Pelodiscus sinensis: one gene and its partner. The protein of the gene in region 2 interacts with the protein of the main gene of each other region in a biochemical or structural test. Links are inferred from orthologs where the notes say so. Each region holds a gene or a part of one and is shown on either strand. Other genes may lie near its edges.

Region 1 (7,701 bases), on a different chromosome or scaffold from region 2:
CTGCCTGGTCTCTGTTAAATCCGGTAGGTTCTGTTACAATTGGTACACAGGGGTCTTCTGGTCAGTGGCAAGGTAGGAAATGAGAGGGATGAATTGTGCCAGAGCAAAGGGATTATCAAATTTAGCAAGGATGGAGTTATTTCTGTGTAACGGGTTTGCTGGGGCATTGCTCAAAGGTGGCAGAATTAAGGTTGCACAAGGAAGGACCTTTAGCTCTTAATTTCTGAGTTTTAGACATTAGTGTTCCAGAGGGGTACTGGACACAGCCAGGCAAACTTAACTCTGCGTTAACAACATGCTGTGTTACTGCATTGCCCAGTTTATTTGGGGTTTTTTCAAACAAAAATCTTTTCTGTAGGACTATATGGCCATTCAGGCTGCTAGGAGTTATCACACCGGTTTGTGGGTAAGACACTGGTAATCAACCTGTGACCGGTTCGATCACAAAGGTCCCCTTGAGGCTGTCACCCGCTGTATGGAACCTGCCTACCTGCTCTCTGAGGCACGCCGCCACCCTGTCCTGTTGGGCCAGAAGCTCTGGTTCTCCGGCCAAGCCACCGAGTTGGGGTAACAGCACCCCAGCAAAGCAACAGACACTGAACCAGCTTGGCTCTGGGAAGGGCCGGCTATAAGGCTGTTGACAGCACGCAGGAACACAACCCCCAAAAGGGACTAAAACCTCAAATAAATCCATCTTACTCTAAATGTTTTACACAGAGAAAGCTCATTAGATTTGCTGTCTATCAATGAGAGAGATGCACACCTGTTATTCCTCCCAGGTAACAATTATTTCACTGGGTCTGACAAAAACTTTTCTTAAGTATAAAAAGCAGGATTTAAGTGATTGCATATGAAAACAGATCTAAGTTACTAAACCAAAACAAACAAAACATGCCAATTAAGCCTACTACACTAAGACAAATTGTTTCAAAGTATATTCCTCACCCTTGTCCTTATTTCAGGTAAAATGCTTCAAGACCATTGATTTTTCTTTGGCCTGGGTCTACAGCTCCTTGGGTGTGTCTAGACTACAGGGTTTTTTTGGAAAAAGCAGCCTTTTTCGAAAAAACTTCCCCTGCATCTAGGCTGCTGCTGTGCTCTTTGGAAAGTAAATCAAAATGGGGCAATTTTTTCGACCGCAGAAAATCTAGTTTTAACGAGGAAGAACACCTTTTTTTGAAAAAAGGCGCTATGTAATGCAAACTGTCGTTTTTTGAAAGAGCATCCAGACTACCTGGGTGCTCTTTCGAAAAAGCAGCTTGCTTTTTTGAAAGTACTGGTTGTAGTCTAGATGCTCTTTTTTGAAAGAGGTTTGCAGTCTAGATGTCCCCCTTCTGTCCTTAAGAGTTCTTTGTTTCCAGGTTACTGCATTTGTATCTTCTGAGGGTGGAGAGGCCATTTCAAAGGCCAACTGAAGACAAAAGACCAATTGCTTTCCATTCCTTAAATACTTTCCCCCAGCGTGGGAATCTTTTGTTCCCCCCCCTTATCTTCATGGAAAAATACCAGATTCAAAATAGATTCTAGCACCAGGTGATATGTTTTTCTACAGCCAGCCACAGTTTGGGCTTACAGGAAAAACAAGCCCATGTACAGATCATTGCCTTGACCACCGGACGACTAAGTTTCCTACAGTACCACTAACTGCTTTCACTAAAAGACTTAGATGCACAGAAACACACACATTTGGCAGATTGTAACTTTAAAAAAAAATGATAATTTATAGGATACATTTTGCTTAAAGCATCTTTGAGTTATGCTTTATGAAAATTGGCTTATGAATATGCATGTCACACAACCCTAGCTCTTAATACTGCATGTTGACTAGTCCTTCTCAAACGCTTGGCAAAGGGGGTAACAGATGGGGAAACTGAGGCAACGAGTGGTGAAATGACTTACCCCAGGAAGAGAATGTAGATCTGCTGAGTCGTCATCCAAGCCTCATGCTCACGCAGTGACTCCTAAGTATTCCTCCAGAGAGAACTGTCATGCTTTCCAATGTCTGGAGAGTCTTGCTGCTAAGGAGAGAAACCTCCAGATGTGAACGGTTTTAGTACATCCAAAACCTTTTAAGCACATCTGAGAAGAGAGGCTTGTCTCTCCTTCTCCACCCCCTTTCTTATTCCTGCCCAAAATGTATAGCGCCCCTTTCCCTGTTTTTAATAAATCTTGCCTTGGTTAAAGTTACTGTTGCAAGAGTAATGTCATGCAGATATCTCCAGAGAGGAGATAGCCACAACTGTGAAGGATTAGAAAAAAAAAAAAAAAAAACGGTAAAAAGTTTCTGGAAACTACAACCCTCACATAGTCTTGGCTAGGACCCACCTGCACAGGGAGACACTCAAGGCCTAGCAGGCACCAAGAGCTAGCAGTGATATTAGGGATGTGAACAGGTAACCATCACCTACAGCCATATGGAAAGATATTAAATGTTCAAGGCTCCAATCGCTTAGTTTCTTTTTTGTGAGGTTATTGAAGGCTATAGGAGACGGCAATAATTAGCAAGAGGTCAAGATTGAGACTAAAAAACAAACCACAGGCCAAACAACTTCTTGCCTGAGGAAATGTGACAGCCCACCTACTTTTTCTGCAAATGAAGTTCTTGGTAAGTTACAATTAAAGATATAGAAACAAGAAAAAGTTGCACAAATTAAGATTCTTGCCAATGAAACAAACAATAAATCCACATTTATAGCTGCTACAAGTGGTAAACTAGCTCATTTATAATTACAGCAACCTCTAAAGGCCCTGAGATCAGGACTCCCTGACGCAGGTTACTCTTCAAACAAATAGTAAGAAACAGTCCTTGCTCTAAGAGTCTACACTCTAAATTAGGAATGTAAAATCCTGTTTAATTTGTTAACCAGTGAAATGTTACGTTTAACCAGTTAACTGCTTAAATGGGGGAGAAGGGGAAGGGGAAGGAAGGCCACTCCAGCCTGGCTGGACTGAAGTGGCCCCCTGCCGTCACACATGGTGAGAGGATAAATCAAAGCAGAGAGGCAAAGGGACTTTTCTAAGATGCAGGAGTAAATTCCAGGTTTCCTAGTGCCTCAGTCAGTCCAGTGTCCTATAAACTAAACCACACAACTTCACAAATTTGAGCTTCAACCCATTAACAGGGGATTTATAAAAGAAAAGCTACTAAATGCATAAGACAAGTGTTCAGATTTATTCGGAAATTCACAGTTTCTAATGGCACTACAGCTCTGTAGTTACATAATCTTGTTCCACAATATTGTTTGCTGCACTCAGATAGTATAAGCATTTTTTCTTCATTCTTGTTTGGAGCCCTTTCTGATTAGACATTCTATAAATCAGGTCCATGTGCTCTGACTGGCTAATTGTGCAGACCGTCTCTAAAAGTACATCACCATAAAGTATCCATAAACTAACATGAAAGCAGCAAAAACAAAAGCTTTAAATAAGTCACATTACATACAATACCCAGAAAAGGCATTTGATCTGTTTAAAAAAGGGTACCACTAAAAGTGCTCAATAAGTTAACTTAGTTTTACAACATGAACTTATAACACCTCTCAAAAAGGAGTAACCTTCTGTCCCATTCACTCTGCTTCAGTCACACCATTGTATGCAGTCACACATTCGATTTTATCCAAATATACAACCATGGTCAAAATAAACTCATATGAAAGTACCAAAACACACACACACACACACCCTGCACATCTTAGCCAATACAAAAGCAAACTTTATGGAAATATCCACTTTTATACAGACTTGAGCTGTTAGACTTCAAGGCTTGGCAAACTCACTTGCATTGGTCAGGTGCATTTGTACCCAACCCTGGTTAGGATACTTATATTTTCAGTTGTACCTAGTCACCCTTACATTTCTCCTTGAATGTAGTCCCTAATGTCCAAATTCTTGGATCAGAAAACAGAGTGACTAAAATAAAGCATCAATCCTTTTTGGTTAAGTATTGTAACAGAATTCCAAAGGTCAGTCTGGGGATCAAAGGCATGTTTGTCAGCATGAGCTCCTTCACGTACAGCGAGTGTAACTGCATAGCTGTAATTCATTTTACACACCTAAATAAAACAATTCTGAAGTTGATTAAAATGTAATTAATGGCATTACAATTGCTTCTAACAAGATCTTTTCCAAGTGAGTTTTCAAAATGGAGATCAATCGACAAGTCTGCCATGTTAGTATTACTACGGTCTCCAGCCCACACTACTGAGTCCAGCTGACTGCCAACATGCCCCTTTACAGCACTGTAGTGTCGCCTCCTCCAAAAAGCAAGAGAAGTTACAAAAGAAATCAAAGGACAATTTTCTCTCTTCCTCTTCCAGTGGCATTATAAATAGACAAAAGGCACATAAATACGGGAAGGTGCAAGAAATAGGAACAAAGCTAAAGGAAGAGGATTAGGCTTTTATCCCTATTCCACCCAACAAACTGGGTTTCAACTATCTTTGCCCCACTAATTGTGAAAAAAGCTTTATAAAATGATCCCTCCCACCCCCCATTTGTCCACAGAGGAAGTCATCAGCCTTGTAAAGCTGAAACTCAACCAAGATTGACACAATCCCATCTATTTTAAAAAAAACAGAAATCATAATTTCTGAATACTTTCCAGTTAGCTGATCTCTTCTCCCATCACTCTCCTGCAAGATGTACAACAGACTGTTCTCAGATGAACAAACACTCTCCTGCATGAGAAATCCAACTAGTTTTAGATGTGTCCAGAAACAGCTGTGACACCAAGTGTTCCTACAGTTATCTCTTTGTTTCCTTTGATTATGTCATGCAGACTTGGCATTGACCCAGTCTTAGTCTGTATTAGAGTTTTTATGAACTTCCCTTGGTCTGGAACCTTAGATCGCCTTCGTTTTATAGCCCTCTTCTCAGTTTTTGTCTTTTGGGTTTGTCCGTTGCACAGAGTCGTGCATGCTGAAATGCCACAAAAATAGGATTCCTCGGATTGAGATGAAGTTTCTGAGCTTCCTTCAGATGGAGGACCCTTATATGAGGAATGATATACCTCGCCAATGTTAGAGAAATCTCTCTGGTTCGTAAAGGGTTTCCTTCCTTTTATTTCCCCATTGGCTAATGGATGTAGAGGCTCTGACGCTGGTTTAATCGTCTCTATCTTTTCACTTTTATATTTGCAGCGTTTCTTCTAAAGAAGGAAAAAGAAACTATTAGATTGTGCAATGCAAACAAAATCATATCGCATATGAATAATAGTAGATCATACATAGGCTTGTCAGAACTCTAATAACTGATAGATAATACTGATGTTTATTTTAAGCATTTTTATTTTTAGTCAAATTGTCGCAGTTTGCAGGAAATTATCCAAGGGGTCAAAATTATTTAATATAGTAGATGCTGAAATTCAGAAAGTTAAAGCTTTACCTGGTTAAAGCAAATTATCAACATCACATGGCAAAATACATAAGGTAAATATCTTTACATCAAACTAAAGTTCTCAGGGATCATTTTTCTTACTGTGTAAATTTTGATCATCATTGATATAAAATGTAAATACAACACTGAGTCCTGACAAAGTGGGTTCCAGCCCCTGAAATCTTATGCTTAAATAAATTTGTTAGTCTTTAAGGCATTCCAGAACTCCTCCTTGTTTTTGCTGAAGTTGACTAACATGGCTACCCCTCTGATGACTGATAAAAATATTTATCATCACGTGGGGGTGGGGTGGGGGTGTGAAGCCAATGTTCACTGACATTTGTGGATATACTTAATTCTTCCAAGGCTAGTTGTAGATAAGTGACTGAGAAAAAGCACCATCTGCTGGCAGAAACCGGAAAGGAAGCTACTATACCTTTTTTTCTGGTGAAAACTTCAGAGGTTCTACAATATACAAGTCATTTGGATCCACTATAAGAAAAGAAAGGATACATATGAAAGGACAATAAAATGTAACTGCAACCACAGACACTAATTTCTAAAACCATGAAAGTATATATGAAGTTTCATTCCTCCTCGAAAGGACTATTACTCTGCATTCCATCCATACATCTTAAGATCTATGAGATATGAACAGGATGCATATTCATGGAAAGTAAACCAATCAAAATGTTCAATAGAAAAGTTCTATCTCCAGAGCAACTAACTTCTACCTGATCATATAATTCTGCAACTGCAGATCTTGCCTGAGACATTAGACCAGAGTTGAGATTTGCAGAATACATTTTCAGAAGATAAGAAGGGAGTGTTCAAGGACCCAGTACTTGGGGCAGTCATAGGGTTGCCAGGTGTCTGGTATTGAGCCAGACAGTCCAGTACAAAAATTCAGAAAATACCAGACACCTAAAATGTCTGGCATTTTCTGATTTTTTCCCAGCCAGGAGGCAAAAGTACAGGGTGTTTTCCGGGTTCCACGGGGAGCTGTCCAGATCGGAGTTCGAGTTTGATGTTAAAAAAATGTCTTGGTGTTTCCAGCAATCAAAAACACTGTTTCAGAACATTTTTTATTAAGTTTAATATCCTCTAATTTATATAAACTGAACAAGATTTAATAATGCACATTTTTCTCTGCAGAGCATAGAGTGTTTGTTATAACCATGAGGGATGGGTAGCAGCCTGGAGACCAAGGGGTTAATTGTACCTAGCCAGGTAGCATTCAGCCAATAGAAATGCAGGTAAGGACTTCAAACTGAGACAAAGGAATTTTGGGGTTTTCCCTCCTTTGTCTCTGGGCAGTTTGCTCTCTGGATACTGAGGGAGGCAGAACACATGTCTCTCTCCAAGAAAAAGACTCTTCATAATGTATAAATAGGGTAAAGTTTAGATAAATCCATTAGGTTTTATTGTTTTCTGTTTTGGAAATTTGGATCTGATGTCTGTGCTGTTAGAATGGGTTTTCCTCTCTTTTGTAACTAAGTCCTGAGCCCATGGGGGTCCCCCATGAGTATATTAATTGGTAACTTTTTCCATCTAGTCATTATGCTTGCAACAATAGTATTGTTTTGGTAATAAAAGTTTTCTTTTTTATTAACCTGGTATTGGTTCATTTCTGTGTTCTGAAAAATCTGTCTGAGATCTGCATGCCTCTGGTTAGGGGACAGCAACCACAGACTGCAATTTGTATTTTCTCTCTTTTTTTTTTTCCAAGCTCTTTGGGGAAAAGAGCGTGGGGTGCCCTGGAGTTGGTTTCAAGCATCCACCCCCGGTCGTGGGTTTAAAAGCACCTGATGGTAGCAGCATATTTTTATCCCCAAAATCTAAGTTAAGATTTTGCGGGGAAGTGTTGTACCAAAGCTTGTAGAGATAAGGTTTTGGGGTTGCTTTTGTGGGCCCCCACTTCTGCATTCATCATGCCAGAGTGGGGTATCAGCCTTCACAGTGCTGTAAATGCACATTTCTGATGTCTGGATAGAATGGGAGTTACTGCGTATTAGGAGTTTTCATTTAAAGCTTCTGTCACAGTATTTTGGCTCAATGCTCAAATACAAGTTAAGACTTAATTATGAACAGCTTTTATTGAAGAGTTTAGTTTACACGTTGTGTACTCATTTCATTTACAAATATTTGGCAATTCTTTGAGCCACAATTCATTTATTCAATAATGAACTCAGCTTCTTAAAACTCCCCATATAAAAGTGCTCTCCACATTTAACCGAGTGTACGAATTCAGCACGGCAATGCCTGATTTCTACCCCTACTTGACTGTTCTCAAGGCTTAGCAATTGCCCACTGTACTCTTCCAATTTA
Region 2 (8,017 bases):
TAAAGGACTAATTAGCATACCATCTCAAGGTTTGCACTCAGCACCACTCATCCATTGGCTGCACTCAGCACCAAGCAGAATTGCACACGGCACCATTCCCATTTTCCCGTCAAACAAACTTTATAAGTCTGCTGCTTTGGGGGCTCTTGTTCTTTGTTGATCATCACTATCCCTCGTGGTCAGTGGTGTGGTGGGAAGATTTGGGTCTCTGTGGTGTTCCTCAGTGCTAGCTCTAGCGAAGGCTGGGTGAAGCATTTGAGTTACACCAACTAGAGCCTGTTGAATCTCACCTTCCCCACGGAGAACCATCTTAGGCATCTTCTACCTCATCAACCGAGTTTGTGGTGAATACCCAGATGAGAAAGAGTAGAGGAGAAGCCTTCAGGACGGGCTCAGCTGCTTGTTGCGAAAGCTCAAGGCTGGAACTGAGAACTGTTTTCTTGGCAACTATTAACTTGTTGACTTAATCAGCGTGGGATTACCTAGAGTTCCTCCCCAAAAGCTACTAGTTAGCTCTAGGGTTGTAGATCCTAGGCATCACTTACCTCACCATCAACTGCAAAGTATTTCTTTATTGTACTGGGATTATTCTTTATTCTTGTATTTATTTGGGGTGTGGATGGATGTGTTCAATATCAAGCGTTTGGGGCTGTGTTTCTAAATTTACAGTATACTTACCTTTGATTTAAACATATCTGGTCTCTGGTTATTCATTCAATTACCAGTGATAGAGATATGGAGTGCCAGACGGGTCTCACTTCTGGGGCAAAGGCATGTAACACCATTCAGAACCTCAATCTCCTAAATTGTTCAAGTTACTATGTCTCTCAAGTAACAGAGTGTGGGTGTTTTCCTCGACAAAAGTGCCATTGGATTGTAAATGCTTTCAATGTTTTGTCAACAAAAGATACGTTTTGGTGACAAAACATGCCAGGGTAGACCAGGTCTAAGACATCCACACTACAATGCTGGCTCTGCAAGAAAACGAAGAAAAAAGTCAAGATATATTGCTTTTGCATTGGTCTTTTTTTTTTCCTGTTAAAAACAAAAATAAACTTGGGGAAAGACAGGAATTTTTTAAAAAATGAAATCCAGAAGACTACCAGACTATGAAATAGATTATAAAATAGGATAACAATTTGGACCTAAACAACTGTATATACTCATTCATTAGTTTGTTAGTTTATAAGTCGACCCACCCTAAGATGAATAGTTAAAAAGAACAAACCAATGGGGTATGACCTTTTCATAAGCCAATTCTATATTTCAGAGGTTGGCAAACTTCGGTTGCCGATTTGTCAGGGTAAGCTACTGGCTCATTGGGACATTTTGTTTACCTGGAGCATCTGCAGGCATGGAGCCCTATAGCTCTCGGTGTCTGATTCACTGTTCCTGGCCAATAGGAGCAGCGAGAAGTGGCAGCCAGCAGGTACCTTGGCCTGTGCTGTTTCCAGCAGTTCCCAATGGCCAAGAATAGTGAATCACAGGCACTGGGAGCTGAGGGACTCCATCCCTGTGGACACTTCAGGTACACAAAATGTCACGGCATACCAGTGGCTTCCCCTGATGGGCTGGGTACTGAAGTTTTCCAACCTTTGATCTACAATGACAACGTAGACCTGTTGATAAGCCGACACCTACTCTTTGAGCCACTTTTTTACCAAAAAAATTCAGCTTATCAACGGGTATATATGATATCTGACAGTTCTTCAATTAAAAATAAAACTAGGAGAAATCATTCAACCAATAACCATGTAAATAGTGGAATTTCTATAGGGCAAAAGTTCTCACTTGGCAATGTTAGACTCAAATTTCAAACCCCTAGTTCCCACTTTCCAAACCCATGTGTTTTAATGTACCTTTTATCGAAGCCCAATCCACAAACTGAAATATGCAAAAGCCCCGTCAGATTTGTTGACTTATTATGGAATGTTCTTCTTCGGGTGATGTCCCTGTGGGTGCTCCTCTGTTGGTGACAGGTCATCCCCGGAACCGCAGTTCAGAGTTTTTCTTAACAGCTATTAGCTGGACCGCACATTCACTGAAGGCAGCTCGTGCTGTTGGCGGTTTGCCACCATTCATATGCAATCCTGCTCCCCCTTTCAGTTCCTCGCTAACCACCCTCAATCACAGACAGAGGGGAAAAAAGAAAGAAAAGCACTGCTTAAAGCCCTGAGAACCGGGCATCGTAGAAGTGCCATCAGTGTAATGACCCCATACCGGCTTTGGACAGGCATGATGCCTGTATACGCTGTTTGGGGGAGTCGCATACCCTCAAAAAATGTGATCACTGCCAGAGCCTTACGACAAGGGCTACAAAAGACCAGGAGCTTTGGCGCCATATGATTCTTTTCAAGTGGGCTCTGCAGGCCTCAGAAGGGTCTCAGCCCTCTTTGACTCCAGGGGATCTGTGGAAACACAGATCTGTGTCTCCCACACCTCACAAATATCTCAAGGCGAGGGTCTCCCTGGTGAGGTCGTTGTCCCTGACCACTCCCCCCCATCAAGCCAGTGGAGACTCGCCAGGCACCACAGACAACTTGGTGCCAAGAATTCTAACAAGAGTTGCTAGAATGGCACCCCATGCTCACTCCAAGCTGGATCGTTCATCGTTGGCACCAGAGAGATCATGATGGCGAACCCCGGCACTGCCGCAAGTGGCACCACAACACCCAGCACTGAGAAAGAGTGGGGAACCATCTGTCACAGCCCCACAAGTCTTCAGCACTGCCTTCTGATGTGCTAATATCAGTGCAAATGCCTCCCCCGCCAGACTCGGCAGCTGTGCCGGTGCTGCATAATCACACTGGCCAACTTGAGGGCATTCACACAGCTGATGTTGAGAATGCTCAGCCTTTGCTATGCTCTCCCTATCGAGTTCCAGGCTACATTATGTCTCCGTTGTTACACAAAAATGCTGGAGTAGCTGACACATAATCAGAGGAACACCTTCTCCTCACAACACTCCTCTCCTACTACATCTTGTCATTTTCACCATTACCGAGAGGGACCTTACCACCCACAGTGGTACCCTGACTGACATTTTTCACCTCCCAATTGTCTGCCCCATTATCCACCCCAGTGGGCCCCATGGGACTATTGGAGACCTTGCAGATGCCACTCTACAGGCCCATCTGTGTCACCAAAGAGGCTTCCACCAGCCTCCCTATCCCATACCCTTCTGAATACCGCTGAATCCGAAGACAACAAGGAGGATCAATTCTCAATGAGCACATTGTTACACGAGCCCCGTAGCTTTCCTCGAGGAACAGTTCATCCTTATCTCCTGATGAGGCAGTAATACCTGAAGATACCCATTCTACTGACGACCTGAAACAATCTCAGGAACTTTTTAAGAGGGACCACTACTCAGGAAGTTCAGCTCCAGGAGGTAAAGGAGAAACAGCACCGTCTCCTAAAGAACACCTATCCCTCCTCTCAGGGAAGGATTGCATTAACAATTGATGAAGCAATAATGGAGGAATCAGACACATCTTTGGTGGTGGATGCAGTGAATCAACATTCACAAGCTCCTCAACTTAGGTCAGCAACCAGTGACAAAGAATATAAATAACTAGCTCTATCTGGCAAAAAATATATATTTCTCTGCCACCCTGCAGCTCAGAATTGCAAACTACTCTGCATTGCTAGCCAGCCATGACTTGGATGATTACTCCAAGCTTGCTGAGCTCATGGAGCACCTCCAAAAGATCCATCCTCAGGACAATAATTTGTGAGAGGCACACCATCGCCTGCACAGCACTACTATCAGCAATAGATAGTAGCTCACCAGCAGTGGTGAGGAGAGCCTCCTGGTTGCATGTAGGAGGTGTGCTCAGGGAGCTTCAAAGAAAGGTGGAGGATCTCCCTTTTGATAAACAAAAGCTGTTTGCTGCTAATACAGACAAGATCCTGCATAGCAATAAAAACTCTCGCACCCTCAGCATGTACACGCCACCATACCAGCAAAAGACTTATCTGCCATACGACAGGAACAAAGACACTTACTAGAACTGACCACAGCATAGACCACATGACTAATAAATCCAGACAGCAGCCTCAGAGGAAGCGTCAACCTCCCTCTCTGATCTTTCAATATATTTTTTATTTCTTATTAATAAATAGCCTATTATGGGAAAGGAAACTAATTTGGACTCTGACCCTTATGTCCTGGACATAAGTTGAATCATGATCAAAGCAAAAATGTTTCCATCCTATTACCTGCCATAGCCACCTCCTCCATTTAGCCTTTCAGATTCATAAGATATTGGAGTAGGGACTGCCATTTGCTATATGTTTGTGCAGCACCTAGCACAATGGGGTCCTAGCCTGGTTAGCCTCTAGTCTAGAGCTATTACTGCAATAGTAATATTCAGGAGTGCTAACAGTGCTGCTCTGCACAGTCATACCACTCTAGTTTCCCTGTCTCATGAAGGGCAGTCATGACATGTTAGCAACATATTTAGCTTGCATTCCTTCTAAACTTCCCTAGAGTCCTGGGTGCTCTAGTGGAGCTAAAATAGTTCATTATCCGCCAGGGGAGAGAGGGAACGGAAGAAAATGCCAGAATCCCTTACTCTTCCCCGACCCCATGCAGTCTCCTCTCCTAGGTAGCAAAGAATGAGCGGAAACAGGTGGTTGTGGGGCTCTCTAGAGCAGGGCACGCCACGCCCCCTCCCGTTAGCTGGAGGGAGGGCTGCCTTGTTAAAATGAAACCAGCCCCTAGTAATCTTCCCCCTCCTGAAATCCCTTCTCATTTATTCCCTGCTGCTGGTGGAAATACCTCTGCGAGTCTTGTTTGGGTCTTTGCTTCAGTCTCCCCTCTTAAACTCTCACCCAGTGTTTTGATTTCTTGATCAAAAGCTGAACAATACTTAACATTTTTCTTAAAAATCCTCCCTTCTCTCCCCCATCCCCTTTACTGATATTTATGCAAATTCCCTAATACAGTACCAGGAAGTAAACTGAAAACTCTCAGCCAACCCACTGAAACCAAGCGAAGTTCCTCTTCTGCTCTCTGGGGTGGCAGAGGATCGGCTTAGCTGCTCTGGACTCTCTCTCCCAGCTGTAAAATCCCGTGGTCTTCAAAAAACCAAGCGAGTAGCTTTTCCTCTTCCCGAGGCTCATCAGCTGGTTTGAGTTTGAACGGCAGCCTGGCTCCTGCCCCAGCTCTGTGGCTGAAGTAACTGTGGAGTTGACTTGCTGCTTCCAAAGTTTCGCATTCAGGGAAGTAAGTAAGCGTCTTTTGTCTCCTAATTTGGCAGTGGGTAGCTTGTTTGGGCGCCGGTGGCCAAGTGTAATTTCTGCGATCCTTTCCGAGCAGCGGGAAATGCAGGGAACAGCCCTGCTGGCAGGGAGCGGACTAAGGGGGCTTCCTAGCGTTTGTCAGAGGGAACCACTGAGAGTTTCTCTCTGGGGATCAGGGGTAAGGCATCTATTTTGCAGCAGTCCTAGTTGCTATGGAAACTGTCTCCCCTCCCCCTGGATTTACCTTGCACTGCAGATCAGAGGGAACTTTCATAATAGACACTTGTTTGTCTGTTGGATCAAACAACTTATCACAGGAGCTTGGGTTTGTGCTTTGTTTATTGGCTCTCCTAACACACTGTTAGCAACACTGGGACTTGGGGGCCAGGACTTGCCCCATAGATGCTGGAACTAGAGGTGCTTCCGCTCCCAGTGGTTTGAAGTGGTTTCCATTATGTACGGGGTTTACGGTTTGGTTCCAATCTGCCAGCTCCGCTATACAGATTGTTCCAGCACCTCTGACCTGCCCTATTGGCATACCAATCAGAATAGGGAAAACTCTACCTACGTATTGGTATAATCTTCCTCTAGCCTCCTATCTCCCCTAAAATAAGGAGAAGCAAAGTCTTCAGGGAGGAGAAAAGGGGGGCTGATTGAGGATATTATAGTAGTATCCCTGAATTAGCTAAAGGGCGATTGATGTGGCAGGTCATGAAACCTGATCTTTCCCATTCACTGAAGTGAACTAGAAATATTAAATGAGCCATGTCTAAAGGGTACAGCCAGTTCAAAAGAGGAAGTGTGACATTAATGGGCAGCTTGTGTTTCTGCCCCTTAAGGGAATGGTTGTTTGAACCTCAGATAAAATACATACAGCACATTAGTTAAAAGGAAGTGAGAGTTCTTTTCGGACTGGTTAGCTTTTCCTCTAGCCTGGGGGAAGGGGTGTAGCTGCAGCTTAAGCTTTCCTGTATGGATGGTTAGTTTCAGCTTTTAAGAAAATACAGCAATTTATTTAAGAAGACTTAAAAAGGGATTGCATTTTGATGTTTTACTATGCTCTTCAGGGATATATTGTCTTCAGCCAGTCTTGACTATTCCTAATTAAAAACAAACAACAAAAGAGTTGGTATGCTAGAAAGAAGGTAGTATTACACAATGCATTTTTCTTAGTCACTTTCACAAGTTCAGACAATAGGCTTGGTTTAATTAAGAGGAAAAAATATGACCTTAGGGTATTCTGTATTAAACTTTGGATTTTAAACCTACAAGCATATAGTAAAGTAATTCTGGAGCATCTTCAATTTAAAACTGCTCCCTCTCAGCTAGATATTGAAGTGTGCTTCTGTGCTGGAAAAAAAAGTTGTTGTGGTGTTCATTTCTAAATAAAAAGATACTTTGTAAGCTGCCAGATCTACAAATTCAGCCTAGAATCTGAAAGCCAAGCTGGTTCTTTCTCTGTCAACATCATCAACTAAATTTTAACTCTGCAGTTAGAACGTAGTTGACACCCCCTGTTCTTTCTCATTCAGGAATGAAGCTCATTTCAGAGGTCAAAACTAGTTTTAGTCACTGAAATAAAGAGCTATGACTGAGAAGACACAGAGAACAAACAAGTTGAATTAGAAATTGCCGTTTTTACTTTCGTTTTTCACAATGGAAGAGCACTTTAGATGTTTTTCAGCCAAAAAAAACCCCTAAACACTCTTCTCTCACACTCACTGCAAATCTCCCATTCCCATCCTACTCACCCAATCATCTTGAAATATTACAAATTGAGGGGGAAACTCTTTACCCTCATACAGTATGATTCCTGGGTGAGTTGGCTGTAAATGGTTGTATTGTAATATCTGACAGCAGATAAACTTTGGAACAGTGTAGTAACATTTACCAAGTGATAATATAAAAACCTGCAATTTGGAACTGTCTTAACAAAATAATTAAATTATATTGGGGAGCCCAGTTTTAACACAGAATTAACTGAATTGCTTTCATGTGAATCTTTCCTGTTCTAGTATTGGATGCAGAGCAGATGTGATGGTTTATGTTATTAAGTGGGGACTTCACATCTTCATAATAAGTAGTGACAACATTTCACCTGTGGATTGGAAAACAGTTTTCTCACTAAAAGTAGAAAGGATGAAATGAACTGAGAATACTGCCTATTAGGAGTGTATGGAAACACAGGAGACAATTAAAATTCATGGATTATTCAGCCAATAGGTCAAGAAAATGAGAAACCTATTTCAAAATTAATATTATAAAGCTGGCACTGGATAAAAATTACATAAAAGTTGAAATGTTTCTTGATTTGAGGATGTTTTTCATCAGTAAATGTTGAGATATATCTTGCTTATTACATCATTACAATATTTTGCCAATTACTGTAAATTGCTGGATGTAAAGGGGTTCCGCTTTTCCATGTACCCCTCTGGGTAAGCAAGACTCCTTGTTACAAAGACACAAACAATGGCAGAAAGGTCTTTTTTAATATTTTGATCAGTAAAATCATTCAGTGGCTGTTTTTGTAGACAATACTTTTGACTGCAATGATTAACTATCTGCTAATACTAGGCATTTTTTACTCTATTAGCATTACAGTTTTCAGATGCGTTTCACCTGGTCCAAACTAGTGGATGGATTTTCGACAAATTTTTAAATCTTTGCTTCCTGATTCTGTCTCTAGAAATGGCACACCTTGTTCGGTGACCCTCTTGCAAGTTAAACTGCAATATGCCCTTTTTATAAGGGAGACCTCTTAACCTTCCCA

Evidence for each region.
Region 1: the proteins of LYN (region 2) and FASLG form a complex in vitro, tested with the Homo sapiens proteins (2 studies listed by BioGRID, with this or other methods). The link is inferred for Pelodiscus sinensis from reciprocal best matches to the Homo sapiens genes LYN and FASLG.

What each region holds. Positions count from the first base shown.
Region 1 is NC_134719.1:64,391,534-64,399,234, reverse strand, and holds the start of FASLG (tumor necrosis factor ligand superfamily member 6), read right to left. Parts: upstream 3,018-7,701; 5' UTR 1-3,017. Other genes in the region: SUCO (SUN domain-containing ossification factor), read right to left, coding at 4,700-5,146, 5,810-5,865. UniProt on the Homo sapiens protein: Cytokine that binds to TNFRSF6/FAS, a receptor that transduces the apoptotic signal into cells. Involved in cytotoxic T-cell-mediated apoptosis, natural killer cell-mediated apoptosis and in T-cell development.
Region 2 is NC_134712.1:64,564,153-64,572,169, reverse strand, and holds the start of LYN (tyrosine-protein kinase Lyn), read left to right. Parts: upstream 1-5,000; 5' UTR 5,001-5,234; intron 5,235-8,017. UniProt on the Homo sapiens protein: Non-receptor tyrosine-protein kinase that transmits signals from cell surface receptors and plays an important role in the regulation of innate and adaptive immune responses, hematopoiesis, responses to growth factors and cytokines, integrin signaling, but also responses to DNA damage and genotoxic agents.